Linked DNA regions of Tamandua tetradactyla. The protein of the gene in region 2 purifies or fractionates together with the protein of the main gene of each other region. This does not show direct contact. Links are inferred from orthologs where the notes say so. Each region holds a gene or a part of one and is shown on either strand. Other genes may lie near its edges.

Region 1 (15,474 bases), on a different chromosome or scaffold from region 2:
GACATCAATTCAGGCTGGGAAATAAGAACAAGCAGTCAGTACAGGCCATTATTTGCAAAGGTCTCAGATAGCTGAGTTTGAAAACCAACACCATTTAGGATATTCTTTAGCTATTTTTATAAGTCTTATGTTATATTGTCCCCAAATACGGAGCCTAGAATCTTTAATATAGAGTACTAAAGCCACACACATATTAGCTCATTCAGGATACTGGCCTAAACTCTTCCAGTTGATCCTTTCTAGAGTTCTAAACTACCTTCTGGAGGGCAGAATATCAAATGTTTAGTAAAATGTTTAAATATCTGTTAGTACCTACTTGTTTAAAGAACACAGTAGGTTTAGAATTAAGAAATCTGGATCCCAGCCCCAGCTATGTGTCAGTTAACTGCAATTCTAGATAAATCCTTAATTTCCCTGGTTCTGTTTTTCCATCTGTACATTCTAAAGGTGGCCTTGACTGTTTCAGGACTCTTCCTTTATTAGGGCCCAAGATCAAAGGCAGGAGCAACTGACTAACTGGTCATCCAAATGGCTGAATAAAAAGCAGCACTTCTTTTGATGATGAGCCCTTGGAGTATACTGTCAGGGAGATGCTAGTTGGGGTGGCTGAGACAAAAGCATGCCAGAGAGCTGTGCTCTCCACCTAGGTCATAAGGAAATACTGATGACTGCTTAGTCAGAAAGTCTGGGGAACCTATGGCCCTGATTCTGGTTGGTTTCTAGGCCAGGCACACTGCTTATTAAAATGTCTGAAAAGCTTGGGCACCATCCAGGTCTAACCAAGATGGACAGTAAAGAAAGATCCCACCAAGTGTTAACATCTACCTTGGCTGAAGTGTCTGGGTATTTATAACTAGCCTATCACATGTTAGCTATACCTCAGCACTGTAAACTATAGTCTCCAGTGTTAAACGTCCCCCCATCATTAGATGGGTAAGACAGTTTCAGTTGTTCAGAGAACGAAAACTGGTCAAACTATAAAGCCGAGGCCTGCAGATAGCAATTAATTCAGTCCCTGGGAAGGGAAAGGTGCCACACAGTTCCAGGGCTAAAGCTGGCAACAAACTGCTGGCTCTGATACTCTACAAAAGTCCCAAGGATGGTTTTCCTTTGCGTTCTCTTTTCTAGCATTAGAGGAATAAAAAAAAGGAAATGCTTATCTGCTAAGTCCCTCCTCTAGCCTGCCTGAACTCTGAGGAAAGTCTGGTTAGAGTGGTACAAGCTCACCTCTGGCTCTTCAGTCTTCTGCGCTTGTGCGGGCTCCTCCTCCCCACTGAATGTGGGTGGGATGCTATTGTTAATGTTGAAAGTGACAGTGACCCTAGAAGGGCAAAAGAAAACACAACGGAAGTGGTGTAGTCTTAATAATACACAAGTACTAAAACTTGCTACAGTAAAAAATGCTTGAAACAATGTCTCTGTCCTAGCTGGCTGTGCACCTGAATTGTCTGTAGAACTTCCAAAAATGCTTGTGTGCCTACATCCAACCCTGAGTTCCAGTAGGTCTGAAGTGTGTCTACCATGTGCCAGCTGCTGGAAGTCAAACTAACAGGCACTAGTTCATTCAGCTCAGCCAGCTACAGTCATGGATGAGCTACTTGTGACAGGTCCACATCCCAGTATCACAGTCCCCATCTGTCCACTGCTTATTTCATGGCCATGGCCAGCTGACACTGCCAACTTGTAGAAGCAAGTTGCTTAGCTCCAGCAGCATCTGAGAAGCTAGTGGAGTAGAACTGTAGCTCCTTTAAGAGCTCTTCACTGCAAAACCTGCCCCTGAGAAGGGAAGAAAGAGCACTAGAGGCCAAGAGCAGCTCCGGCCCCAGGAAGGAGAGGCCTCACAGAGAACAATTCCTCAGAGTACTTGTGGGAGGTTTTACAATCAAAAAACTGGTTAAAAACACTGACTAATGACAATTTTAAGGTACGAGCAATTTTAAGGTACAAACAAGTAATGTTCCAAAGTTGAGTCAATATTCTGATGATACAAGATTTAGAATCAGAACTGCTTGGCTGTGCAACTCCAGCAGATAAACTTCACATTTAATTCATGTAAAGAGCACCTCTTGGGGCACAATTAACAGTCTCAGAGCATAAAAACCCAGGGTAAAGGCTGTCCCCTAGAGCTGTGTTAGCTGGCTGCCCTGCCAGGAAGTCACTTTCCCATAGGAACAACAGTAGTTTAAAGTTCAGCCACAAAAATCTGTCTAATCTCCCACAGCCCTGATGAATAAACTGAGCTGAGCACAGAAATGCAGTGATGTTCGTTCATCACAGCATTATTTATAATAGCCAAAAATTGGCTATGACTCACTATGCAACCCGACGAAAATGGTTTAGGTGAAAATACAGAATACACAATTGATCTATGTATAGGATAGAACACATTATACCATTAGGCAAAAAAAAAAAAAAAAAAAAAAAAAAAAAAGAATCAGAACCCCACACCTCGCATCATCTACAAAAAATGAGCTCAAAATGGATCAGACATAAACACAGAACTAAAGTATAAATCTCTTAGAAAAATATATAAATTTAAATCTTTGTAAACTTAGGTTAGGCAATAGTTTCTTATATGCCATAAAAAGAAGAAATTACAAAAGGAAAAACAGATAAACTGGTATTTGTCAAAATTAAAAGCTTTTGTCCATCAAAGATCACTATCAAGAAAATGAAAAGCCAACACACAGAATGGGAGCAAACTGGCAAATCATATAGCTGATAAGGAAATTGTATACAACATATAAAAAATTATTGTAATGCAATAAAAAGAAAAGCAACCCGATTTAAAACTGGACAAGGAATTTGAACATTTTTCCAAAGATAATACAAATGGCCAATAAGCATGCGAAAAGATGCTCAACATCATTAGCTACTGGGAAAATACACATCAAAACCACAATGAAAACAAAAACAAAAATAGATAAATAACCATAATGAAATACCACTTCATACCCATTATACTGCCTCAAATAAAAAAAGACCGACAATAAGAAGTGTTGGCAAGGATGTGGAGAAAGTAGAATCCTCTCATACATTGCTGATAAGAATGTAAAATGGTACAGCTGCTTTGGAAAACACCTTGACATTCTCTCAAATGGTTATATACAATTACCACATGACTTAGCAATTTTGCTCCTTAGGTATATACCCAAGATAAATGAAATTATGTGTCAACACAAAAACTTCTACAGGAATATTCACAACAGCAGTATTCATAAAAGCTCAGAAGTAGAAACAACTCAAATGTCCAAACAACTGATGAATGGATAAATAAAATGCTATTATTCAGCCATAAAAAGGAATTCATACAATGAATCTTGAAAGCATTGTGCTAAGTGAAAGGAGCAAGACACAAAATGCCACCTATTATATGATCCCATTTATATGAAATGTTCAGAATAGGCACATTCATAGATACAGAAAGTAGACAAGTGGTTGTCAGGGACTAGGGTCAGGGAGGGATGGGGAAGTGATGGTTAATGGGTACAGGGTTTCCTTTGGGGGGTGATGAAAATGTTCTGGAATTAGATAGTGGTGACTGAAACACAACTTTGTGAATACTAACTGTACATTTAAAAGGGTGAATTTTATGGTATATAAACTAAATCTCAAAGATATTATTTAAAAAGCAGGATACAGAATTATATATATAGTATGTCAATTCTAAAAGCACACATCTTTGGGGAAAAAAATCTAAGGTTTGAAATGATGTATGTACCCTAGAAAAGCTGTGTTTTAATCAAAATCCCATTTCGTAAAGGCAGAATAATCCCTATTCAATACTGTATGTAATTAGATCGTGTTGCTGGAGATGTAACCAAATCAAGAGTGGTTGTTAAGCTGGATTAGGTGACATGTCTCCACCCATTTGGGTGGGTCTTGATTAGTTTCTGAAGTCCTATAAAAGAGGTAACATTTTGGAGAATAGGAGATTCAGAGAGAGCAGAGGATGCTGCAGCACCACGAAGCAGAGAGTCCACCAGCCAGTGCTTTGGAGATGAAGAAGGAAAACACCTCCCAGGGAGCTTCATGACACTAGAAGCCAGGAGAGAAAGCTAGCAGATGACGCCGTGTTCGCCATGTGCCCTTCCAGCCAAGAGAGAAACCCTGACCGTGTTTGCCGTGTGCATTCTCACTTGACAGACAAACCCTGAACTTCATCAACCTTTTTGAATCCAGGTATCTTTCCCTGGATACCTTTGATTGGACATTTCTATAGACTTGTTGTAATTGGGACATTATCTCGGCCTTAGAACTGTAAACTAGCAACTTATTAAATTCTCCTTTTCAAAAGCCATTCCGTTTCTGGTATATTGCATTCAGGCAGCTAGCAAACTAGAACAAATGCTTACCTGTGTAACGGGATTTTGGATAACTATAATGTAAATAAGTACAAACAACAGTTTGATGTGAATTATACTATAACCCACTGGTGTTACAGATGAGCTCCATATCTAACATTTTCCCCTGCTGTATGCATTGAGAGCCATAAAGCCAGGGAACATTTCAGTCAGCACTATAAACCAGACATCAAACTGATTATGTTGTTTCATTAGCACTAACTGAATTTCTAAATTTGCCTGCCTAAATTCAGGAAGGGCATGCCACTTGAGCAGTAAAGGTTTACTGAATGACTATCTCTACTAGTCCAGTAGACTTCGAGCCACATACTTTTGTATTACTTCCTTACTGTCTCCATAACTGGTCCAGGGCAAATTTGTATTCAGTGAATGAGCTAACTACACCTTATGAAGTTGTCCAAATAAATCCTCTCTCTTTAAAGTCATATATCAAAGTTCTTGCCTTAACTCAAGGTTGTTCTGAGGATGACCCAAGGCAAGTCCTTCAGGGTCATGGATTTGGTCCCCTGGAGTTCCCAGGCCTCCAGCCCACTACTTACTTTTCCCCAGCAACTTTTCGCACTAATTTAGCTTCTGTCCCGTTTACTTCCAGCTCCCAACCTCCAGACATCTTGGGGAGGGACTTATGCTTCTGGATCTTCTTCTCTTCCTTAATCTCATCACTCAGGAATTCAGCAAAAGCTCTATCCCCTAGAGCGAAAATACAGATGACAGAGAAAAGAAAAGGCAATCAGCATAAAGCATAAAACAATGACCCAGATTATCGCAGCTAGACATATTAACTTGCACTGTTTCTAATCTCAGCTATTAAATGTTGCTTTGCGAACTTGGCCCAATGAACTTCATTAAGCCTCCGTTTCCTCATTTGTAAAAATGCCATAATACTGTCAGTGGGAAGCTGACCTCGATTCCGGGACAGTTATTTCTAACAATGAACTTTTTACCTCGTTTCACTATAAAGTAAAACAATCCTCCTCTTCAACCTGCCAAGACACAACCATACTTCCAATCACGACCTTGGGTCTTCCCAAAGTTTTACCTTCTAGAGACTAAGTACAAAGTCGACCTCCAGGGTTTGATTTTATCTCTTTCAATTAGTCAAATACTTGGTGGATGGGGCGGAGGGGAAATGTGATCACAGGAAGGTTTAACTTACAACTTAAAAGCACTGACAAACGGGGGCGGGTACGGGAAGTGCCGGCCTAAAGTTTCCCTCTCCCTCCTGAGATTCCCCCACCCCATCTAGGAATCTGACTCCAGGCCCCGAGACTTCACCTTCAGTATGCAGTGCGCCGCAGCCACAGCCGCAGCCGCAGGGCCCGCGAGACCGCAGGAGGCCGGGCCCACGAGCAGACCCAGCGTGCAAGCTGAACAGTCCAAAGGGCCGGGTGCACGGCCGGTGCGCAGGCTGGAGAAGTTGGCGGAGCGCCTGTGATGGCGCGGCGGCACGGAGGCCCGTGACTCCGGAGCCCAGAACACGGGGCACGCAGCGCAGGAGAGGAAGCATCACGACTGTGAAGCCGAGGAGCAACACGTGCGAATGCTAAGGACGACTGGGGCCAAGGCGCCCTGTGACCTAACGCGCTGCCGGAAGTCCCGCCCTGGAGCGGGAAGCGCTTCCGGAGCAGTTGCTTTGAAAACGGAACCCATCGTGGGTGAAATCGCGCCCTCTGCTGGGTGACTCCCGTCAGTGAGCCTCTGGGTTCCTAATTCTTGAGCTGAGTCAGCCCGTCTGATCAGAGGCCTTCTGTTTAATTCGCCAGCGTCTCTTCTCCCCTGTGGCTGCTTAATTCTCCAAATTTCCATCTACTATTCTCAAAACGCGCCTGGTCTTCTGTGACTTCTGTACAGGCTCGTCGTTTCCCCCACCCTCAATACTCCTACAACTCCCTCAACACTTGACCCAAGGTCACCTCCCTTAAGAGGTCTTCCTGGACTGTCCACCACCCCCATAAGGTAGCCTGTGTGCCCACAGCCCCTAGGATTTATTTTTCCTTCAGTAGTAACCTCCTGGCATTACTGCTTTACTGGCAGATTCCCTGCACCCCACCTGGCTTTGAGTTTCTGAAGAGCAAGATCCATGATTTTAATGTGGGGTTCTCTCCCACCTTCTCCTGTCTTACATACAAGTTCTGGTAGGACCTCATTTTTCTAGGGTCAAGAAACCATGGGTAACATCAGATGTAGTTAAGAATTAATGTTCCTAACTTCCCAGGAGACAGTGGATATATAGGATACTAAAAAAGTATGTCTTCCCAAATGAGTGGTAAAGATAAGACTAATGTATTCTAAACAGCTTTCTGCGAATAAGAGAAAGGAGACGCAAGAAAGCCACACAACTCATGTACAAGATTCATTTTTAATGGATTTTATGGTTATGTGCAAATCTGAGCATTATATACAAGAGCTTATGTTTCTATAGGATCTGTCTGAACAAGAGCAGCCTCTCAAAATACAATATAAATCTGAACCAATTCGATTATTTTTCTTAGAGATTTTTCTTTCTTTTTCAAGCTATAATAGTCTGATCAAATAAAATACATTAAAATTTTTGTTGTCCCACAGGTGCAGGCTTCTTCATATGATCAAGGAATGGTATCTTGGCTGCCTGGCCGCAGTTCCTGGCAGCCGTATTAAGCAGTTGTATAATATATCACAATACATAATTGTGTTTACCCTCAGAGCAAAAGCTTGCCTCTCTGTTCTGGTATCTCTTTAAAACTAGCAGAGATGCAACACTAAGGGGTTTTTACCAAGGACCCAGTATGTGTAGTCCTTCCCCTTGTAATGAAATCTGTGTTACTATGGATGTTTCACACATCATGACTGGAAATAGAAGAAAAACATCGGAGGCATGTAATCTGCTTGGAGTGCACCTATTTACATCAAGCTGCTCATGGGAGCTAGAGATTGACTAGTTCAGATACAGATTTTACAGGTTGGAAAACAGGTATCACACCATCAGAGATCTTACCAATTGAAAAAGGGTAGCTCAAGATTATATTTTAATATCACTTTGAAATATTTAACTTTCTTAATGAAAGTTTAAAGTGTACTATTCCCTGCAGCTCAATATAAATAACCATTTACTTATTTGTGGTAATATGTGGAGTCAGAATGGGTTTTCCAATCTGATTTAATCCCTGAGCAGCTATGTCATAAATTAACTTCTGAAAAAGCTCAGTAAAAAGTAAATACTATATTAAAACTCCAACAAAATGTTACAGAGGTACAACTATTTCTGTACAGAAACATTAAACCTGTGCAGAAGCTGGTCACACCCTTTATGCCTTCCTCCCACTCAGAATATACATTTCTGGAAGTTGTGCAGGTACTTAAACTGGACATATACTACTCCAAGTTAAGTGTGACTTGAATCAGAGATTGGCTATAGAGATAATTTGCCAAGGAATATAATCACCCTTTCCCCAATTTTTTACCAGCAGAGTTTTATTTTACCAGAACAATTTTTTACGAGCACAGAAAAATACATTTGCTTCTACCAAGTCAGGGTAAACATCCTAGCCCTATATCAAATAAAGGAAAAAAGAAATACACCTAAAAAAAAAAAAAAAAAAGGAACTTTTCAGAAAGTCAACAGCAGTAATAGCAAGTCAATCTGAGGAAAAGTTAGCTAAGATTCAGTAAGATGGGGTCTACAGGATCTGTCAATCCTATTTGGTCTAAATGTAACTATTTGTTAAAAAATAAATCACAACCTCCCAGATACCCCTGAACACTGGCTAAAAGCTTGAATACTCAAGACCGCAGCTAGTGTTGTAAAAACTGAACCGGATTTGGCATGCTTCCTGATGAACAGGTCTATGACCTGGAAGCACTCCACGAGGCTGTGGTCCCTGAGAAGAGCGTGCTGGACCCAGAGTGAAAAGCCTCTTTGGCCCAGTTTGGCCCCATGCTTTTAACTGCAGGACTCACTTTGAACTTGTAAGCAATGATCAGACACACGTACAGATGTGTTTAGACCAATTAAGCACACAAAAAGAGGAGGCTAAATCTTGGCTTTTCCTCTGAGAAAAGATCATTTGCTTTTGATAATAGCTAAGAAGAAACTTTGGTGCCTTTTCCCTTCTCAAAACAGGAAAACAGGATGAGACTGTAGAGATCCTCTAATCCCCTCTGACAAATATGGAAACTGAGCTGGAGAGGGATGACTGGCCCACAGAAAGTAGCAAAGCCAGGTTGTCCCCAAATTCCTAAGAGGCAGATAAAAGATCGTAGAAAATAAGATATAAGAATATGAAGACCAAATGTGGTCTGAGACAAGCCAGTCTCTCTCTCTCTCTCTCTCTGGGGTCTCACAGACTGTGTATCTCCCTATTCCCCACAGCTCTGACCAGTGCCAGAGGCACTGCCAGAAGAGAATGGCTGAAACAGAGCATGACATCATTCATTATATTCACATGTTTATATGTGCCCAGTTAGAGAGAAACATGACAAGCGGTATGCTGGAGGCCATCATGTTATAAGATTCATTTCCAGTGCCTGCACTGGACATGATGCAAAAGATAAAAATCAACCTTAACCCAGGAAACTACCTGTCTCCAGGAAGCACTGATAGCAGCATGCTCCAGAGGCACCCAGGCTGGAGAGACTCTAGGGGGTAGGCATGGCCTAGCGACTGGAGAGCTCTCCCTTATTGCTCTCTGCCTGGAGAGAGCCACACAAAGGTCCACCCCCAGGGAATGAGACTTCGCCAGGGCAGCCAGCCCATGAGGTAGGAGACAGCCTCCCTCTTGAAACTTCCACAGAAACACCACACAGATATGTTTAGGCCAATTAAGCACACAAGAACAGGAGGCTAAATCTTGGCTTTTCCACTGGGAAAAGATCATTTGCTTTTGATAATTAAATAGCTAAGAAGAACCTTTGGTGTCCTTTCCCTTCTCAAAGCAGGAAAACAGGAAGAGACTGTAGAGATCCTCTAATCCCCTCTGACAAATGTGGAAACTGAGATGGAGAGGGGTGATGTTTTCTATTACAGATGGAAGTTAAAACAGATCCAAGCTCTGCGGCCTCCAATGGCTCTCTTCCAGAAAACACGCCCTCACAGTCACAAAAACTTGCAGGATGTTGTTGCACTCAATTCACAGCATATTAAAAAAGCACTGATCATAATGGCTCAAATTTATTGTGTCTGTCATGCACCAGGCACAGGTCTGGGCACTTTGCATTATTTTTCTCTAAACTTTGCAACTTCTATAACCTTATGAGGATTATCATCATCATCATCATTATTATTTTGATCCCCATTTGGCAGATGAAGAAACTGAGGCTCAGAAGTTTACTAAATAATCCAAAGCCACCAAAGAACTGAAAGTAAAATGATGAAGTTTCTGTGGTACAGATGCATGTACACATTTACAATCTTCAGTCTTAGAAAGATGCTTTCAAACTCCTGGAAGTTAGGCCTGTCCAGCTGGATTAAAAGTCTCCACTTCTCTAGGAGCCCACATGGGTGCCTCTATGAGGACAGCTCTGATGCGAGCTCCCAGGCAAGCAGCCATCCCAGCAGTGTTCAGGTAGCTCAGCTTCTGGCAGTTCTCAGCTTCTTCCTGAAGTACTCAGGGGAGGCTTCAAACAGCCATTCGGCATCTACAACACAGAGGTCTCGCATGTAGCACTTGTTGGTGTAGAGCAGCTCAGTGTAGACGACACAGGCTGGCTTGCAGTGGAAGAGGACAGACGAGGGGTGGATGGCCACCGGCTGGTGCGTGTCGGTGGTGGCATAGGTCCCATCTGGCTGAAGCTCAGCAGTGTTCATGAAAAGGCTGTGTGCCAGACAGCGGCGGACGCTCTCCATATCGCCTCGGGATGACACGATTGGCATGGACATCTATTGGAGGAGAAAGTGAGAAATAGAAAAGACCTAAACATAAATACTGCTCACCACAACACAGTATTTAGAGCAACTGGAACCACAAGGCAGCCCATACTGCCAGCCTCAAAAAAGGGATCTTGATAGTCCAATGCCTTGAGATTCAGCTGAGGTATGGGAAGAAGGCATGGCTGAAGAACTGAAACTACAGCCTGGGAGAGTAAGTGGGAAGGAGACATTCATATAAGCTACCAAACTACAGACAGGATGGTCGCCCGACATCCCACCCCCTCACCTAAATATCTACCAGGACTTCCCAGAAAAGAAAGGCTTTTCCTCTCACTCTGACAACATCATCTCTTCTCTCCAATTTTTATTACACCCTGCTAACAAATTATTCTTCCTAAAGCACAACTCGAATCGTTTTTCATCCACTCAAAAACCTTCAATGGCTCTCCACTGCCACTGGCAAAACCCCACAAACTTCCAATTTCTGAATCTGGCTGAGCCACCAGGAGCCCACTTTGCCTGTCTTTTCTCTCACTCTTCCTTAGGTATCTTATGATCTATGGAAATGAATTGTTTTCCTCTTCCTTAGACCCAATTTGGAGACAGAGGTTACATGCTCGCTGCAGTGATATAGCAAAGCTGTCTCTGTGGGAATAGGCACCTGATGTCCTGAAAAGACTAAAGTATTACAAAGCTGCTGGAACGTGGGACAGAAGGAAACCTTGGGAAACGTGGAACTTTTGACTCATCCAGGCACAGGGAAGCAGATGGTTCAGCCTGTGCTTCCTCCTTCCCCATTCTTTAGTTACACATTTGTTATTTTCTTTACCTCCTAGCCCTATAAAACAAGCAGTGCTGAACCTCTTGGGGTCTTTGAGTCTCCATCAGAGCTCAGAATCCCACTTGGTCCCAGATTTAACTATATTTTTTTCTCTTGCCTTTGTTTCTTAATTCCCTGTCACCTCTCTTCAGTCCCGACACTGAGCTGTGCTGGTTGCGGCACCAATTTTGTCTTCCTATATCCTTTGCAGATACTGCTCTAAGTTGAAACTGCCCCTCTACTGCCCTTACTGAGTGGACCACGTAACCTCATGTTCCTGGCTACAGCTGAAGAGAACAGTGGTAGATACTTGCTTGACCCAAGCCAGGCCTATCAACTTCTCTTTTCCAGGAATTCAGAGTTTGACCATAGAGAATCTAATCAATCTCATGGAGAGGCCATGTAGAGCTGGGGCTGACACAATCACCTGCAGGCTGAGGTAGGAGAGAAGAGTGAAGGAAGCACACAGAGAGCAGCCAAAGCAAAAGGATAAGCAGGTCCAAAAGCAGTAGTTGCTCTGGTTCTGATGGCTTTTTCTACTTCCTTATTCCAGTGCCTTGTGGGGCTTGACTCTATTTGAATAATTCCCCCCTTTTCCCTTGAAGATGGGTCAAGGAGTTTTGATTTTTGCAAATAGCCCCTCTTTGCCTGATGAAGACATTCTGCATCTCCCTGTCTGTCAAGACACAGCTCAGCTGTCACCACCTCCACGAAGCCCAGATTCCTATGGCCAACTGGTCTCCCCGTCCACACTGTTAGCTCCTACTCACTGACTGTGTGATTTTAGACAAATTACTCAACTTCCTTAGGCCCTAGTTTCATCATCTGTATACTGAAAATAAGAAGAAAATCAACCTTATGGGAATGAAATGAAGATTTAAAATAAGGTAATATGTGAAAACTGTTCAGAATGGCACCTTAATAAATGTTTCGTAAAAGACTGATTATTATAAATATTATTGCCTCCTTACATGAGTTTCTATATAGCTATCAAATCTCCCCTTAGATTGTTCCGTAAGATACTGAGGAGCTTTTGAGGGCAAAATGGCGGTGTAGTGGGGTGTGGAAATTAGTATGTCCTCGAGAACAGCTAGCTAGTAAATAGGCAGGAAGAGTATGGAACAACTGTTGGTGGGACACCAGTGACCAGACACACAGCGTACACCAGTCTGGAACAGGTGCAATGGCTGAGATCCCACACGGAACAGTAACTCTCCCAAGCCACAGAGGCCAGTGTCCCTCCCCTATGGGCATGGCAGGCTGGTCCCCTAAGGGAAAAAGAAAGAGATGTTACCAGAAGCAAGGAAGGTAGCTCAACCAAGCTCTAACTGCAGAATTAATTAACAAATTCAGACTGCTGAAAACAGGCCCTGAGCACAGATAAATCTGGAGTAAGTACGAAAGGAATCCAGAGATTTTGCCTTGGCAGAGAGGGGTGGGGCTGACAGAAAAACAGCAACCAAACCAAACCAAACAAACACACACAAAAATACTGGAAAAGGGCTGGACCCCAAGAAAAGGGGGCACACAGAGTCTGGGGACACACAGAGCTTTGTACCAACTCCAGCTCTTGATTAGCAAACCTGGGAAGCTGGGGTCCAGCTCTGAAAAGGCTTTTTTTTTTTTTTTCTCCACATTGTATAACAGCTCACTAGATAGAACTGCGGGCATTTTCAGGCTCCAGCACTGCCCCAGGGAAGAGGGGAGTTAAGGCATGTCTGAGAACCAAAATAATTAGTCAAATAAATGGGGATAATTCCCTAATGGGTATATCTTCCCCAAGAAAAGGGGGGCGAGGCCCAGGTCAGTGACTACCCCCCTTCAGGGAATTCAGGCCCCACTGGAAAACAAAAGCAACCTAAGCACACCTCCTACTTCAGCCTCTGTCTCAACCACACCACTGGCTGTGAGAGGCTGCTGTGAATGAAAGGAACCCCATCACTTTATGCTGGTGGGATGCTGCGGGCTGACAACAGCTACATGCTGGGCAGGATAGGAAAAGCACAGAGTTTAGAGGCTTCATAGGAAAGTCTGACAACCTGCTGGGTCTCACCTTCAGGGAAACTTGATACTGATTACACCCTCCACCTGAGACATGGACCTGTCCAGTCTGAGAAAATCTGACTGGGGTTGATCATATCTGAGTAGACCCTCCTCAAAAAAATGGTTGCATATAAGCAGACCAAGAACCAGAAAAACAAGAGCTGAAAAACTCTGATCAGTTAAACAGAAGCTATGCTAGAGGTCTGGAAATAGTTGAACTGAATGCCAAACAACAGATAGAGAACAGAGCCAACAAATAAGAAAACCCTAGGTAAGAGTGAAAATGACCTCCCAAATAAACTAATTAAGGAGATCAAATGCCTAGACAGCAGCAAAAAAAAATAATGAGTCATACTAGGAAAATCAAAGATATGGCCCAAAGGAACAAACCAACATTTAAAATCAGATACAGGAATTGAAACAACAAATTCAGGATGTTTGAACAGCTATGCAAAATCTCATCAACCCAAACCAACAAATTGAGGGAAGATATGGCAGAAGAGATAAAGGATATCAAGAAGACACTGGGCGAACATAAAGAAGAATGCAAAAGTTTGAACAAAAATACGGCAAAAATTATGGGAATGAAAGGTATAGTAGAAGAAATGAAAAAAAAAACAACGGAGACCTACAACAGCAGATCTGAAGAAGCAGAAGAGAGGATTAGTGAACTAGAGAACAGAACATCTGAATTTCTATACACAAAAGAACATATAGGGAAAAGAATGGAAAAATATGAGCAGGCTCTCAGGGAACTGAATGACAATATGAAGCACACAAATATATGTGTAATAGGTGTCCCAAAAAGAGAAGAGAAGGGAAAAGGGGCAGACAGACTAATGGAGGAAATAAGCATGGAAAATTTCTCAGCTCTTACGAAAGACATAAAGTTACAGATCTAAGAAACACAACAAACCCCAGGAAGGACAAATCAAAATACCTACTCTAAGACATTTACTAGTCAGATTGTCAAATATCAAAAACAAAGAGAGAATTCTGAAAGTGGCAAAAGAAAAGCAATTCACCACATCCAAGGGAATCTTGATAAGACTATGTACAGATTTCTCAGCAGAAACCATGGAAGCAAGAAGGCAGTTGTTTGACATATTTAAGATTCTGAAACAGAAAAACTACCAACTAAGAATTCTATATCCAGCAAAACTGTCCTTCACAAACGAGGGGGAGTTTAAAATATTTTCAGACAGTCACTGAGAGAGATCGTGACTATGAGACCCTACAAGAAATACTAAAGGGAGCACTACAGGCAGACAGGAAACAACAGGAAAGAAAGGGCTGGAGAAAAGTATAGAAATGAAGACTATCAGTAAAGGTAAAAAGAGAAAAAAATACATATATGATACATAAAATCTAAAAGATAAAATGACAGAAGTATCACCTTCACGATAATAAAATAATAAAATACAATAATAAAATTAAATGTTAATGGATTAAACTCCCCAATCAAAAGACAGATTGGCAGAATGGACTAAAAAACAGGACCCATCTATATTCTGTCTACATGAGACTCACTTTAGACCCAAGGTCAAAAACAAACTGAAAGTTGGGTTGGATAAAGATTTTTCACGCAAACAACAAAAAAAGTAGCTATACTAACATCTGACAAATGAGGCTTCAAATGTAAAGCAACTGAAAGCGATAAAGGATATTATGTACTAATAAAAGGAAAAATTCATCAAGAAGACATAGCAATCATAGATATTTATACACCAACCCAGAGTGCCCTAAAATACATGAAGCAAACACTGACAACACTGAAGGGAAAAATAGACACCTCTACAATAATACTGGAGACTTCAGTTCACCACTGTCATCAATGGATAGAATACCTAGACAGAGGACCAATAAGGAAACAGATTTTAAATAATATGATAACTAGACTTATCAGACATTTACAGAGCATTACACCCGACAACAGCAGGATACACATTTTTCTCAAGTGTGTTAATGGATCATTCTCAAGGACAGAAATGCTGGGTCACAAAGTAATTCTCAATAAATTTAAGAAGACTGAAATTATAAATTATACAAAATTCTTTCTCAGATCATATTGGAATGAAGTTGGAAATCAATAATAGGCAGAGGACCAGAAAATTCACTAACATATGGAGGCTCAACAACACACTCTTAAACAATCAGTGGATCAAGGAAGAATTTACAAGAGAAATCAGTAAATTTCTCGAAGCAAATGAAAATGAAAACACAACAGATCAAAACTTATGGGATGCAACAAAGGTGGGTCTCAGAGGGAAATTTATTGCCCTAAATGCTATATTAAAAAAGAAGAAAGAGAAAAAATCAAGGAATTAACTATTCATGTGGACGAACTAGAAAAAGAGCAGAAAATTGACCCAAAAGTAAAGAGAAGGAAAGAAATAATGAAG
Region 2 (15,267 bases):
ATATTATATAACAATTTGATAAGGATAAAAGTCAAATTCGAATTTAAGCTTTACTTCAGTCAATATGTATTCAGGGCCTTTTATTTTCTATATAATATAAGCTATAGATAAATAATTAGAACATGCATGAGTATTGTATTAGTTCGTAAGCTGCCAGAATGCAATATACCAGAAATGGAATGGCTTTTAAAAAGGAAATTTAAGTTGCAAGTTTACAGTTCTAAGACCATGAAAATGTCCAAATTAAGGCATCTGTGGAAACCTTGATTCAAGAAAGGCTGATGGATCCAGAACACCTGTCAGCTGGAAAGGCACATGGCGACATCTGCTAAGCTTCTCATTTCGTAAGGATTCCCTGGGGATGGTTGCCTTCTGCATCTCCAAAGATCTCTGGCTGTGTGGGCTGTCAGCTCTGGTGGCTCTAAAGTTGTTTTCAAAAAATGGTTCCCTCATAAAGGATACCAGTAAGCAGCCCCACCTTGAATGGGTAGAGGCACATCTCCATGGAAACAATGAAGAAAGCCCACCCAACAATACTGAATGAGAATTAAAGAACATGGCTTTTCTAGGGTACATAATAGCTTCAAACCAGCACAAGTATAATTATGGCAAACAGAAAACCTCAAATTAGAGCTATCCCATAAAAGTGAAGATAATCATCTATTTGTGCCATGCCTTGTGGGAAAAAAAAGGACTAGGATTGGGAGCATTGTCAGATACATGTATTAATCTATATTTGGGAAACTGAGTTAGTGAATAACTTGCTGATAAAGATGGCAAAATATATCCAATAAGGGTTTATTATCCAGGATATATTGAGAAAAACAACTCGGCAACAGACAACCCAATTTAAAAAGGACAAAACCCAGACATTTTTCCAAAGAGAAAGTACAAATGGACAGAAAAGCACATGAAAAGGTATTCAACTTCACTAGCCATTAGGGAAATACAAATCAAAGCGACAATGAGATACCATTTCCCATCTCTAGAATGACCACTATATAAAAAACAAAAAATTACAAGTGTGAGAGAGGATGTGGAGAAAATGGGAACATTCACTGCTAGTAGGAATGTAAAACAGTACAGCTACTGTGGAAGACAGTCTAATCTGCAGGTCTAAAGCTTGGAATTCTAACCAGATAGCTTGATATCATGAATGATAAAATTGTACTACACCAAAAAATGTCACATCACCTGAACTTACTGCCTAGGGCTGTGCTGCTCAGTATAGTTTTCTCATGTAGCTACTGAACACACTTGAAATGTAGCTTGTGGAAACTGAGATGTGCTTGAAGTATAAAATTCAGGATTGCATTGCAAAGACTTAGTACATAAAAAAATATGTATTTCTTATATAAGAAACTTTTCACTATAATGTAACTTCTTATATTTCTATTGGACAGCCCTGATCTAGAGTCTCACTAATTATCAGGACCATCTTGCTCCACTGTCCTCATACATAGTAACAGGACACCATACTTGCAACTGAATTCCATTTATATGTAATGAAGACTAGTTTAGGGGTATGCATAATCCCTTATTATAAAGATTTAGAGGAACTAATGAGCATTCTAGTCCTGGCAAATCAACAAGTTCAACTTGGTGATTATGGGGGGGGGGGGAATGGAGAAAATATAAAGTATACTGTTTTTAAGATACTGGAAGGAACAAGCCTGTGGACTGAGGAGGATTAAAGAGAGAAGAGGAAAGGTTTTCAGAAACAGGTAGGCTCAAGTATGTTAACAGGCTAAAGAAATCAATGGTGAAAAAGACTGAAGAGACAGATCCCTGTAGAATTAAATCTCAGAAACCACACCCCATACTAGCAAAAGGCCTCTTTTGTAGATGAGAAAGTGCTCTCTCCACCACCAGTTACTATGCTAAGTAAAGGTCCAAAAGATTTTAACATTACGTCATCAATTCATTTTCTAAGAGTCTCCCTTCAAGTCTCTCCTTTTAAGAGCCTCCTTTTTAAGAGTCTCTTCTCAATTTCTGGAACTTTGCTAAACAGGATACCAACTAATGATACTAACTTGATGCTCAAGTTAACTTCATTACCAGCTTGATACTAAATTACAAGTCCTAAAATTAGCCAGTTTTTTTTTCCTGGATGTTGTTTGGTGGGAGTCACGTTTCATTCTTCTTCCACGTGACCATTCCATTATTGAAGCACCACTTTTTGAAAAAAAATTTTTTTATAAGTTCATGGGCTGGGAATTGAAGCCAGGTCTCCTGCATGGCAGGCAAGAAGTCTACCATTGCCCCCAGTTTTTACTGTAACCAGGCAATTTGCTAATATTCAGTTCTCCTTAGGACTCCACACAAACATGCCATTGTAAACTTTCTCCTTTGGAAACATATTGTCCTTCCCAATAACTCACTTTAACCTGGATGTGAAATGAAGGTTTATCCAGAATAACTTTCTTCCAGAAAATTCCATTTAAACCATTTCCTGTTGGCTTGAGTTACCAAAGCTATTTAGATAATTATTAACAGGAATTATATATCCAGAAAGGTACACATACATATGTCTTGCATATTTTTCAGTGTTATCGTCTAGAGCAGCTGTCCAATAGCACTTTTTCATGTTAGCAATTCATGAAGTCCCAAGCAGACCCTCATTTAAAGAGTAGACCCCCATTCTTAAAAATCTATTTTTTAGTTGTAATAGGATTTTTTTTAACCAAAGTTCTATACCAAGGACACATGGTTTTGTTGCTAAAGCTCAGCAAATAGGCTTTTAAATTCAATATATGTATCTTGCACCTTAAGCTCAATTTAAATATTTGATCTATTAAACACTTGAAGAAATAATCTAAAAATGGTATAAATACATTAGTGAACAAGGACTACAAAACTATTACTGTAACTAGTCTAATTTAGACTAGTCTTTCAGTTCATATATTTATTCACCATTAAAATTGCAAATGCTGTTAAAGGCTGTTCCTTGTTTACTGTGGGTTTAGATACAAAGGGATTTAAGAGTGATCATTTCTAATAAGCTTCCAACACAAAGCCCTATGCTGTAGGGTCCCAACCTTGAAAGTACCAAGGCTTTGAACAAGAAATACTTCCCTATTTTTCTCTGTTAAACCAAGACCCATCTGATAATATTTACATAATGAAGTGAGACTAAAATGATAAAAACAAGACATTTATTATCAATTATCATGTCTTACAAATTTTATTTTTACATAACCAATGGATAAAATACAAAATATTTACAAGTGTATGTACAAGACTCCCACCTGTATGTAGTCTCTGGTCCATTTGTGCTATCTCACATCTGCAAGAGAAACCTAAAATGTTAGTTAAGTATTTAAATCTTCTCATATGAGAGCTTTTAACCACAATTACCACTAAACATAGGAATAGGATAATGCTGGAGACACGAACTTGCAATAAAGTGCTGCTTCAGGCAACATTAGCCAATGATTTTCTTTTAGACAGGCACCCACAGGCTATATGGACTTTTTTTCTCATTTACTTTTGGGGATCCTGAAGAAGTGTCAACAGTAGCTTTAGATGATCTCTGAAACATTGGCTTTGCTACAGAATTCTGTAAGAGAACAAAATATTAAGTCAACGTTCCAAACACATACTTACATACCTTTATGTACAGCTTAAAATACTTTGCAAAATATGATAATGTGATTTAAAATGCAAAGTGAGGACTCACTTGTAACTTAAGTCAAACCACAAAGTCAATGAAGTTGGAAAAATTAAATATGGACAGGGCTATATTATAATAGGTATCATATACTTTGAGCTTGTTTTTAAAAACCCTTCTCGTATTGAGTTAGTTTGATTTGGGGATCTTTAGATTTGCTTTTTTTTGACATGGGCAGGCACCCGGAATCAAACCTGGGTTTCCAGCATGGCAGGTGAGAACTCTGCCTGCTGACCCACGGTTGCCCACCATTGAGACGTGCTTTTAATATAAAACTTATGAACATGAATTTTAAGATATGGTAGCCCTTTATATGGGTCACTTATAAAAGTGGCACAAAAATATAAAAGATATTAATTTTACAAAGAAGCTTAGAGGGCCCCAAATCATCATAAGAACACACATCACAAAGTCTTCCAACAGAAATAAAATCTTATTAATACAAATATGTTTCAGTGACCAATGCTTAGGTAACTTACATAAGAGCTGAAAGCTATGCTTCTTTGCTGGGAAGATTTTTCACTACAATTTTTGGTTTCATCTTCCTTAAGTTCTTCCGACAGCTAGACAGATAAGAAAAACGTATTTTTAAAAACACACCACTGGCTTGCAAGTACTATATAAAAAACAGCCTAATAGTATAGAAATTCAGTTTTAGAAACAAATAAAGTTTTACCTAATCATATAGTTAGCAACCTAACCAAATATTCTGTTGAGCTTTCCCATAATAAAAGTTATTTAATGACAGAGTTGATTAAGGCCTATTCGAATTCTAACTTTTAAATGTAAAGCCATACCAGAAAATACCTAGTTTCTTCAAATGAAGAAATAAACGCATTTTTTTATTTCTTCAAAGAAAGAACACATTCACCATTTTGGGGATCTGAGATGAACTCAACATAAGTTGAATAAGCAACTCAACTAAGAATATCTATTAATGCTAGTTACAACTGAACCTCACCACACTAAGGAAACCTACATCTGGGTCACAATGGTAGGTGCATCACAATGCACCATACACCTAGAAAGCACATTTTGCCTGTGTTTCACATTTAGCGATTCTTTTCCTTCTCTTTTTTTAAAATTCAGACAACTTCAAACCTTTGCACTGAAAGTTCAACGTAAAAGCACATTCACATATGAATATCAATTCCTAACTTCCTTAAAACATTTAAGGCCATGCGTTCTTGTTTTTTCTGTTTGTTTTTTGCATAGGCAGACACCAGGAATCAAACCTAGGTTTCCAGCTTGGCAAGGGAGAATTCTGCCACTGCGCTACTGTTGCATCACCCAAGGCCATGAGTTTTAAACTTTGGATTTTACATGAATAATTTAAAAAGACATATGCCAGTGCACATCCTACACATTCTTGAGAATTATAATAAACTTATCTGCAAGTGAAGCAGGCCTCTTCTTCTGTAATCTCTCAAAACATCTGGAACATATTGCATATATTATGAAAGGGACATCTATATTCACAGATGCCCCATCTTTACTGTGTATCTTTGGTTAGTTTTTGATACCTGTTCCCAAATTCTAGCATGCATTTAATCTACCAAAAAAAAACAAAACAACAAAAATCTAAGCTTTCAGTGCTTGAATTTAAATTTTAAATTATTTAAACTTCTTATGTTTTAACCCATGTATCAATTACCAACAGATTTTCTTCATCAATGTCTGGAGACCACATTCAAGATTTCTATAAGACAGAAATAAAGCAGGTAAACTATACTGTATTTTGAGTACAGAACTGGTGGAGAACATACTGCCGCAAATGAAAGCTAAAGATAAACACTGTGTGAAGACTAGAATTTAGAAAAATCTGTCAACTGCATAGAAAGACACCAAGTACCAGCTACAATATATCAGCAGTGTTAGGACAGTGATTAGTAGTGTCAATCCAAAATAAAGTTTACTAAGCTTCCATTTTCATGGGTGAGACCTGGCTAGCATTCTGAGATCTGGTATTTTGACATTAGCAAATTATATTTAGCTGGCTTTTGGGAGAAGATAGTCTAAGATAAATAAAACTGGCTAATCAGATCTTCTGGTAGGAGTCTTTTGAAAAGGTTGGATAAACCTGGAACACTCACCTCGAATTTTGCTCCACTTGGTACAGCTGTTCCACAGTTTGTTTCTTTAGATAAAGGAACAGTTCTGAGACTAGCTGGCAAGTCAAGGCTGGATGTTCCTAAAGCTTTTGCCGCATTGGCTTTTGCTATTTCTAACAGTTCCATTCGATCTGCAAAGAATAAAAAAAACATCTCATCAAACCTATAACATTTCCACAAGAGGACAAAAAATCACGAATTAAGTGTGAGTTTTATTTAGAACAGCAATGAAGAGCTGGAATGATTTGTTTTTATTTCCAAATATAAGGTATAACTTTATTCATGGAAACATCTTCATCTGTTAAAAAAAATACAAGCATCTTTAATATCAATAAAAAGTTTACCTTACCAAAGACCTGAATTTCATATATTTTTTTTTTGCTTTCTCTAAAAAGTTTTGAATTTGAGGTGTTTTTTGGTACAGATACACTTAAAAAATGTTTGGCTTCAGAGAAAAGCTGCAAGCACAGTAGAGTTCCAATGTACCATACACCCAGTTTACATTTACACTAATACATTATGGAACAATTGTTTCAACTGTTGAACCAATTCTAACACACTATTAACTAAATCCCCATACTTTATCACGTTTCCTTAGGTTTTTTTTTTCCTTAATTTTTTATCCGCTCTCTTCGTTCCAGGAATCTTGTCATTAAAAAAAAAAGTGACAAACGACATACCTTTCATGTACCAAAGGTAATAAACTGAAACTACACAGTACCTACCTCTAGTTCCCTGACCTACTCGTACACTGTTCATACAAGAACCTTAACTCTGCGCCTCTCTCAACGACATTTCACCCACCTTTTTCACTTAAGCGAAAGGGAGTTCTGCTCCGCGACCTAGTCCTGGATCTCGACCTCCAACATCTGTGGTCTTCCGGGTACACCGTGCGACCAAAGCCGTAGCATCGTCGCCCCCGCGTGACCGCGTAGGCCCTTCGGTAACAAGACCTTCCCCGAGAGCGGGACCTGCTCCGGGGTCGGTACCGCGACGGAGACCGGTAATGCCTCCCGTAGGAGCCGCGGTGCCTCTCTCTGTGCCGGCGGCTGCGGGAACGCGACCGGCTGCGCGAGTAAGACCTCGAGTAGCGTCTGTACTTCCGCTGGTGGCGCCTCCGGCAGCGAGACCGTGACCTGCTCCTTCTCCCGGGCCGGCTCCGACTCCGGGAACGACTGGAGACGCTGGAACCGGACCGAGAGCTTCTGGAAGTCGAGCGACTTCTGGAACGCGAGGAAGACCGCTGGCTGGACTGTCCCGATCGGGACGTCGAGGGGGAATCCTTCTCCTGCAGCGAACCAGGCCACATGTCGTTCACGTAGTTGGACATCTCAGCCTGAGACTTCATCTTAATTTTCTTGGAGAAGAACCTCGAAAACACGTCCCTAAAGCAACCAAAAAAAGGTTCACAAAAGGAAAGATCAAGGCCAGAAGTTGGTCGCCGCACCCGATTACACCACCCCGCCCGATTGCTCCGCCCCTCCGTCCTCGCCTCCCAGAGGCCGCAGGCCTAGCCAGGCGCGAGCCGGTACTAGTCCTGAGAGAAACAGTTCTTAAAATCCCGTTAATGCCGTGAAGCCGCGTGCTCGACGCAACATGCTTGCGTTCCCGTCCCGCGATCTACCCCACTTTCCGCGCGGCCCACACCTGAGGTAACCGCTGAGCCGACCCTCCACCAGAAAACTTCCCAGAGGCCGCAGGCACCTCACTCTAGACAGTTAAAGAGATCCAACAGACGCGTTCCTTCCGAAGCCTGGTAGGAAAAGCGGCTTCCCAAACAACAAGACCCGGCGCGAGACTTCTAGCGTCCGAACTCAAAGACAACTGAATCTAAAGACGCGGTCGAAAATACTAGAAGCTAGCATCCGGAGCATGCGCAGAAACGTAAGGGCGATGGGCGTGGCTCCTTCTCGACCAACCACCGCCCGCCTCTTCTCTCCCCGTGCCCCTCCCCCCCGTCCTCGCGCGTCGCCCTCACGATGCGCGTGCGCGACAAAGCTCTTGTTGGCGGGGAGGGAGGCGCTGCCACATCTAGTGTTTGGCTGTATGCCATGCTTTGTTTTCTTGGCCAAAACCCGTAGAACGTGTTACGACCCGGCGCGGCGCAGTTCCAGGCTCCCGACCGACTGCACGGTCGGGGGCGGTCATAAGTGCCAGGCGGGGAGTCGGCGGGTGAGCGGGAGAACGAGGAAGAGCCTCATGTAGGTTGGGGCTGGAATCCGGCCTGTCTGGCAGAAGCCGCCGTTGTCGTTCTGGGACTCTGCAGATGCTTGCTGTGCCTTACTGGCTCCTTTCTCTTACCTCGTGTCCGACCCGTATCGGGAAAGGGCGACCGCTCCCCGACCCTGAAGACCACAGAATCTCAGTAAATGTAATAGTTAACTTACCAAAGGTGTTTTACTTCTGTGTTTCGGCCAATAAAGGTAAGAAAGTGTGGAGACATAATGCAGGCAAGCAAGAAATTGATCAAATCCGTGATGCCGCTCGTTCCACTTATTAGTTCGTTTAGTAAGAAGCTGAAGTGAGCGTTTGTTAATGCTTCTTAGGGCTGGAACTATTGGGTCACTAATTGGCATTAAAAAAACTTAAGAATTGTCAGTCACAAGTAAAAAGGGCTCCTCCACCCTAAGTCATTTAACAACCATAGTTAGACTTTAAGAGGTCAGAATGTTGTCTTAGGTGTCGATTCTGAGGACAGCGTGCTTGGTGTTGAGGATTAGAGGCAACTATTTTATTCTCAGGGATTTACAAATACGATACATTCTAAACATTTATGGTGATAAAGCATGACAGTTGCTTTGAAAACTGAGTTACTTAACCCCTTTCATTGAATGAACAGGTCACTTTTGTAAGGAGATTTATTCGCTATATGAGCATCTTTACAAATTAGTGATATTTTCACGAAAGCAACTTTCTTTAAAGGGAGATACATTCCTTTGTTCATCTTCACCCCACATATTCAAACATGCACAGAAGTGGAGGGAATAAAAATCTTACCACAGATGTAATCCTCTACATCTCTGAGAAAGCATCATAATGGAAATAATTTCTTAAGTGTACTCATGTCCTTGACATATTGCTAAATACTATCTCAAGTAAGTTGAGAAGATACAGTACCCATTTGCCAGGAACTATTATTGAAAGTTCTTCATGAGTTTCACGTTTGATAAGTGCAAAAATGATGTGTTAGGAGGAAAAGAGTGTGAAAATATGTTTATAAGATGATGGAGTCTGAGTTCATGATTATCGGAATCTTTGTGGACAGTTTATAATGTCACTCAAATGTGTCCCTGTTACATAATAAAGAATTTGATTTGGCTGGTTTTCGTTCCTGGGAGATACCCTCTAAATCAATGGAATTTCTGTGCTAGAGGTGTTTTTGTTATTCATGGTGGGCCTTCCAGACCACACCTGATAGTTTATACTGGTGATATGAGTCAGGGTGGGGGTGACCAATCATGGAAATAAGGAGTGTGACTTTGAGCCGCCCGCCTCTCAGGAAGAAGGAGGGACTGGACATGAAGTTAGACCAGGTGGGCATTGATTCTGTCAAGCCTATGTAATGAAATCCCAATAAAAATTATGTACGCCAAAGCTCTCATGAGCTTCACTGATCAGGAATACACATCTAAGTGCTGGGAGAGTGTCACATCCTAACTCGGGGGAGAGGACAGGGGAATTTCAAATTTTGAGACCCTCTCAGACCTTGCACTATGAATGTCTTCTTTTGGTTCCTTATTTGTATCCTTTTTGCTATAATAAAATGTAATTGTAACTATAGTGCTTTCCCAAGTTCTGTGGGTGGTTCCAGCACATTATTTGAGAGTGTGGTGGGAACCCCTGAATTTGTAACCAGTTGGTCAGAAGTGCAGGTGGCCTTGAGCCCCAGAATTTTATCTGGTGTGTTAAGTGATGGCAGGCTTGTGAAGGACTGTGCCTTGAAGCTGTGGAATGTGATCTAACTCTAGATAGAGTCAGGATTACTTTGCAGTTGGTATCAGAAGTTCCTGCAGTGCCTAAAAAAGGCGGCCAGAAAAAGCCTGGATAATAACAGTAAGGATATTGGAAAATCAATGGCTGAGTTAAAATATGCTAGACTAGAGTTTCTTTGTTTCTCTAAATAATACAATCTTGATTTAGCATCTGCCCACCCACCTGATGGGAAATCCAATTTCAGTCATTAGAGCATTGTGCACTGAATTTATAGGCTGATTTAGGCAGAAATGCCATCTTTACAATAGTCCATCTTCCTATCCAAGAATATGATAATTTTCTCCATTTATTTAGATTTTTTCAAGTCCTTACTGTGGTAGACAGACTAATGGCTTGCCCAAATTATTTAATGCCTTAATCTCTGTAGCCTGTGAATGTTATCTTCTATTGTGCAGATATGATTAAGATTAAGGACCTGAAGGGGTGCAAGGGTAGTTCAGTGGTAGAATTCTCAGGTGCCATGCGAAGACCCGGTTCAGTTCCCGGCCTGAGCACTTCCCAAACAAACAAAGAAACAACAAAACAAACAAACAAAATGGTGCTGCAATAAAGGGCTACTCACATGGAAAATGAATGAAATGTGACCCCGCCATACAGCATACAAAAAAAAAAAAAAAGATTAAGGACCTGGAGATAGATTATTCTGAATTATTTGGGTGGGCCTAATCTAATTGGATGAGAGATTGGAAGCATGAAAAGGATTCAAGGCCCTATTGCTGCATTTAAAATGTAAGAGGCTATGTTATGTTCAAGGACTAGAAAATGGCCTCTAATTGCTAAGGGCAGCTCCCAGCAGACAATCAGCAAAGACCTGGAGACCTCAGTCCTATAGCCTCAAGGCACTGGATTCTGCCAACATCTGATGAGTTGATGTTGGAGATTGTCTCCTAGGGCCTACAAGAAGTAGTGCAGCCCAGCCAACCCCTCAATTTGGCCCAGTGAGACTTCTGACCTGGAGAACTATAAGATAATATGCTTGGGTTGTTTTAAGCCACTGAATGTGGTAATTTGATACAGCAGCAAAATTTGCTAAAATTTTATAGATTTTTTCATATACATCTTGCACATCTTGCTAGGCCTATTTTGAAATATTTTAATGGTATTTGTGAAGAATATGATCTTTTTTTGTTGTTGTTATATATTCACTTTGTATTATGTTCACTTTGTTTTAAGTGTTCCTAATAGAAAACACTTAGCTGAGTTTTTAATCTATATGAAAGTTTTCTTCCTTTGGTAGGTAAAGTCATCCCTTTTATATTTATTGATTTTGTCTCTTCCATTGGTGTCTATTATTTATTACTCTTTGCTTTTTTCCCTTTTTCCCACTTTATTTTGCCAGCTTGATCAAGGATCTTTTTCCCATCTCCCATTATTCATTTAGAGGTTCTACAGTGCTTCACCATGCTATTAATGGTTATGTTTTAGCCCTACCAAACATATTAAAACCTGTTCCTCCTCTCCTCCTGTATTAGGGTTCTCTAGAGAAACAGGACTGACAAGACAGATCTATCTTTCTATAAAGAGATTTATTTTAAGGAATTGGCTCATGTGACAGTGGGGACTGGCAAAGTGAGCTGAAAGCTAGAAGCACCAATAAAGATGACACTAAAGTCCTTAGTCTGATTTCCGCAGGGGAAGTTGTCTAGCTGGAAATTCCAGCAGGAGTAATGCTGAATTTAAGTCTGAATTATTCTTCCCAAACTCTTAAATCCTCAGTTCTGGCTGTTGAGACCTCCAGTTGATTAGATGCAGGGACCTCACATTGCTGAGGTCCATTAGTTGATAGTAGATGCAGTCAGCTGTACATGCAGTCAACCCATTACATGTACTCAACTGATTACAGATCTACATTTCATCTATAAAATCCACTTGCAGTAATAAGCAGGTCCAGTGCCTGACCAAACAACTAGACACCATAAGCTAGCAAAGCTGATACATGAAATTAACCATTACATCCTTTGTCCTTTATTTAGTCATTCTACAAATATTTATTGAATGTTTATTGTATTAGATGCTGTTGGGTGGGTTTAAAAGTTTTTAGTTGTCCTTTCCCCCAACAAGGTCAAATTTCTTCATTACTTTTAATGACTAAGCTAATCTTGTAACAAATGAAGGAACCGAAGAGGTATAGAGAAAAAGCTAATAATCCGTACCCTGTCCCCATACTCCATCCTCACTCCCAAGAGGTAACCAGTGTTAGCATTTCAGTGAGTATCCTACCACACCATTCTCCAAGTTCTTTCAAACATATATATGACATATAGAGCTTTTGATGACTATGAACCCATTTTAAACCGATTTGCAACTTGCCTTTATAATGAACATCCTTTAAAATAAATTCTGTAGATTAATTTACTGCTATTTAACAGCTGTATAATATTCCATTACCTACAAGTACCATAATTTGTTCTTGTGTCATTATTACTTATTTGTAGACATTCATGTGGTTTTCTTTTTCTTTTTTCACACTCAAAACTATTCCTCAATATGAACAATCATTCACTGCTACTTTTATTACTATGTCATGAAGCCCCCAAAGTAGAATTTCTGGGTTAAAGGATCTGTGTAATTTAATATATTGCCATTTGCTTTCCAAGAAGATTGTCGTGATTTACAGTTTTAGCCACAAATATATGAGAATGTCTCCTGTTATTCTGAATTCTTTATTAATCTTTTAAATTTCTGCCAAAGTTGTGAGATCTTGTTGGTTTGTACAGGTTAGTGTGATGCCTCGATATATCCCAGAGTAATCTGGGCAGAGAATAAAAAAAATATCTGCAACATGACTCCCAGGAGTGTGGACCTTCCTGGCAATGTGGGACAGAAATCCTAGAATGAGCTGAGACTCAGCATCAAGGGATTGAGAGAACCTTCTGGACCTAAAGGGGGAAGAGTGAAATGAGCGTCAAAGCGTCAATGGCTGAGAGAGTCCAAACAGAGTCAAGAGGTTATCCTGGAGGTTATTCTTGCGCATTAAATAGATATCATCTTGTTAGTCAAGATGTAACGGAGAGGCTAGAGGGAACTGCCTGAAAATGTGGAGCTGTGTTCCAGTAGCCATGTTTCTTGAAGATGATTGTGTAATGATATAGCTTTCACAATGTGACTGTGTGATTGTGAAAACCTTGTGTCTGAGGCTCCTTTTATCTACCTTATCAATAGACAAGTAAAACATATGGAATAAAAATAAATTATAGGGGGAACAAATGTTAAAATAAATTTAGTTTAAAATGCTAGTGATCAGTGAAAGGGAGGGGTAAGGGATATGGTATGTATAAATTTTTTTTCTGTTTTCATTTTATTTCTTTTTCTGAATAGATGCAAATGTTGCAAGAAATGATCATGATGATGAATATGCAGCTATGTGATGATATTGTGAATTACTGATTATACATGTAGAACGGAATGATCAAAATAGGAATGTTTGCATTTGTTTGGTGTTTTTTGGTATATAAAAAACTAAAATAAAATAAAATAAATTTGCAGAGTGCCTTGGAGAACTGGAGAAGAAGGAGGAAATATTTAACTTTCACATCCAGGGAATTCGTGATATTCTCACAAGCAGTGAGGACAACCAATTTAATAAATCAAGCCCTCAATCTTGGGGTTCAGACCTATGAAACTTATTTCTGCAAAGAAGCTAAGCTTACTTATAATTATGCCTAAGAGTCAACCCCAAAGAACCTCCTTTGTTGCTCAGATGTGGCCTTTTCTCTAAGCCAACTCTGCAGGTGAACTCACTGCACTCCCTCCTACATGGGACATGACTCCCAGGGTTATGAATTTCCCTGGCAGTGTGGGACAGGACTCCTGGGATGAACAAGAACCCAGCATCATAGGATTGAGAAAGCCTTCTTGATTAATAGGGGGAAGAGAGATATGAGACAAAATAAAGTGTCAGTGGCTAAGAGATTTTTAAACAGAGCTAAGAGGTTATTCTGGATGTTATTCTTATGTATTATATAGATATCCCTTTTTAGTTTATAGTGTTTTGGAGTGGCTAGAGGGAAGTACCTGTAACTGTTGAACTGTGTTCCAGTAGCCATGATTCTTGAAGACGATTGTATAACTATGTGGCTTTTACAGTATGTGTGGTTTGAAAGGATGTATATCCGCTAGAAAAGGCATGTTTTAATCAAAATCCCATTCCCTATTCAATACTATATGTTTGAAACTGTAATCAGATCATCTCCCTGGATGATGTGATTTAGTCAAGAGTGGTTGTGAAGCTGGATTAAGTGACGACATGTCTCCACCCATTTGGGTGGGTCTTGATAAGCTTCTGGAGTCCTATAAAAGAGGAAACATTTTGGAGAAGGGAAGAGAATCAGAGACAGCAGAGAATGCTGCAGCACCATGAAGCAGAGAGTCCACCAGCCAGCAACCTTTGGAGATGAAGAAGGAAAACGCCTCCCAGGGAGCTTCATGAAACTGGAAGCCAGGAGAGGAAGCTAGCAGATGACACCGTGTTCGCCATGTGCCCTTCCAGCCAAGAGAGAAGCCCTAACTGTGTTCGCCATCTTCTGCCCTGAACTTCATCGGCCTTTTTGAACCAAAGCATCTTTCCCTGGAGGGATGCCTTAGATTGGACATTTCTATAGACTTGTTTTAATTGGGACATTTTCTTGGCCTTAGAGCTGTAAACTAGCAACTTTTTAAATTCCCGTTTTTAAAAGCCATTTCATTTCTGGTGTATTGCATTCCAGCAGCTAGCAAACTAGAACACAGTGTGAGTGTGTGATTATGAAAACCTCGTGTCTGATGCTCTTTTATCCAGGGTATGAACAGATGAGTTAAAAAAAAAAAAAAAAGGATAAAAAATAAATGGGGTTAAAGGGTAAAAAATTGGTAGAATGAAATAATAATGGACAATGAGAGGAAGGGGTTAGCAGTAGGGGATGTATGTTTTTTATTTTTTTCTTTTTATTTCTTTTTCTGGAGTGATGCTAATGTTCTAAAAATGATCATGGTGATGAATATACAACAGTGTGATGATATATTGTGAGCCATTGATTGTACACGATGTATGGACTCTATGTGAAGATTTCTCAATAAAAATATTTCAAAAAAATAAATTTTTGCCAAAGTGATAGGTAAACAAGTAGTATCTTTCTTGCTTTAATATGTATGTCCCTGATTAAAAGTGGTTCAGTGATAGAATGCTCACATTCCATGCGGGAAACCCGGGTTTGATTCCCAAACCATGCACCATTCATTCCCCCAAAAAAGTGAAGTTGAGCCTCTCTTCATGTGTTTATTGGTTATTTAGACTTCTGTGCATTTCCGCTTCATCTCCTATATTCATATTTCTATTATTATCTGTACTTTTGGACTCCCTTGAGTGATATTAATCTTTGTCCTGTGGTATTACATATATTTTTATCATTTATTTTTCTTTTGTTTTTGTTCATGTCTTTTGTCATACCAAATTCTTAAAACTTTTATTTAGTCATTTTTGGATTCCGTTTTTCCTGACTTGCTTAGAAATATTTC

What was found.
Region 1: the proteins of RSRP1 (region 2) and C1QBP purify together in Homo sapiens (affinity purification with mass spectrometry; 3 studies listed by BioGRID and IntAct, counting the BioPlex papers as one, with this or other methods). This does not show direct contact. The link is inferred for Tamandua tetradactyla from reciprocal best matches to the Homo sapiens genes RSRP1 and C1QBP.

Annotation. Positions count from the first base shown.
Region 1 is NC_135332.1:59,925,057-59,940,530, reverse strand, and holds the start of C1QBP (complement component 1 Q subcomponent-binding protein, mitochondrial), read right to left. Parts: upstream 5,959-15,474; 5' UTR 5,872-5,958; coding exon 5,640-5,871; intron 5,055-5,639; coding exon 4,904-5,054; intron 1,322-4,903; coding exon 1,228-1,321; intron 15-1,227; coding exon 1-14. Other genes in the region: ATP-dependent RNA helicase DHX33, read right to left, coding at 9,910-10,218.
Region 2 is NC_135328.1:200,902,829-200,918,095, reverse strand, and holds RSRP1 (arginine/serine-rich protein 1), read right to left. Parts: upstream 7,684-15,267; 5' UTR 7,429-7,683; intron 7,167-7,428; 5' UTR 7,130-7,166; coding exon 6,586-7,129; intron 5,913-6,585; coding exon 5,764-5,912; intron 4,234-5,763; coding exon 4,150-4,233; intron 3,560-4,149; coding exon 3,443-3,559; 3' UTR 3,139-3,442; downstream 1-3,138.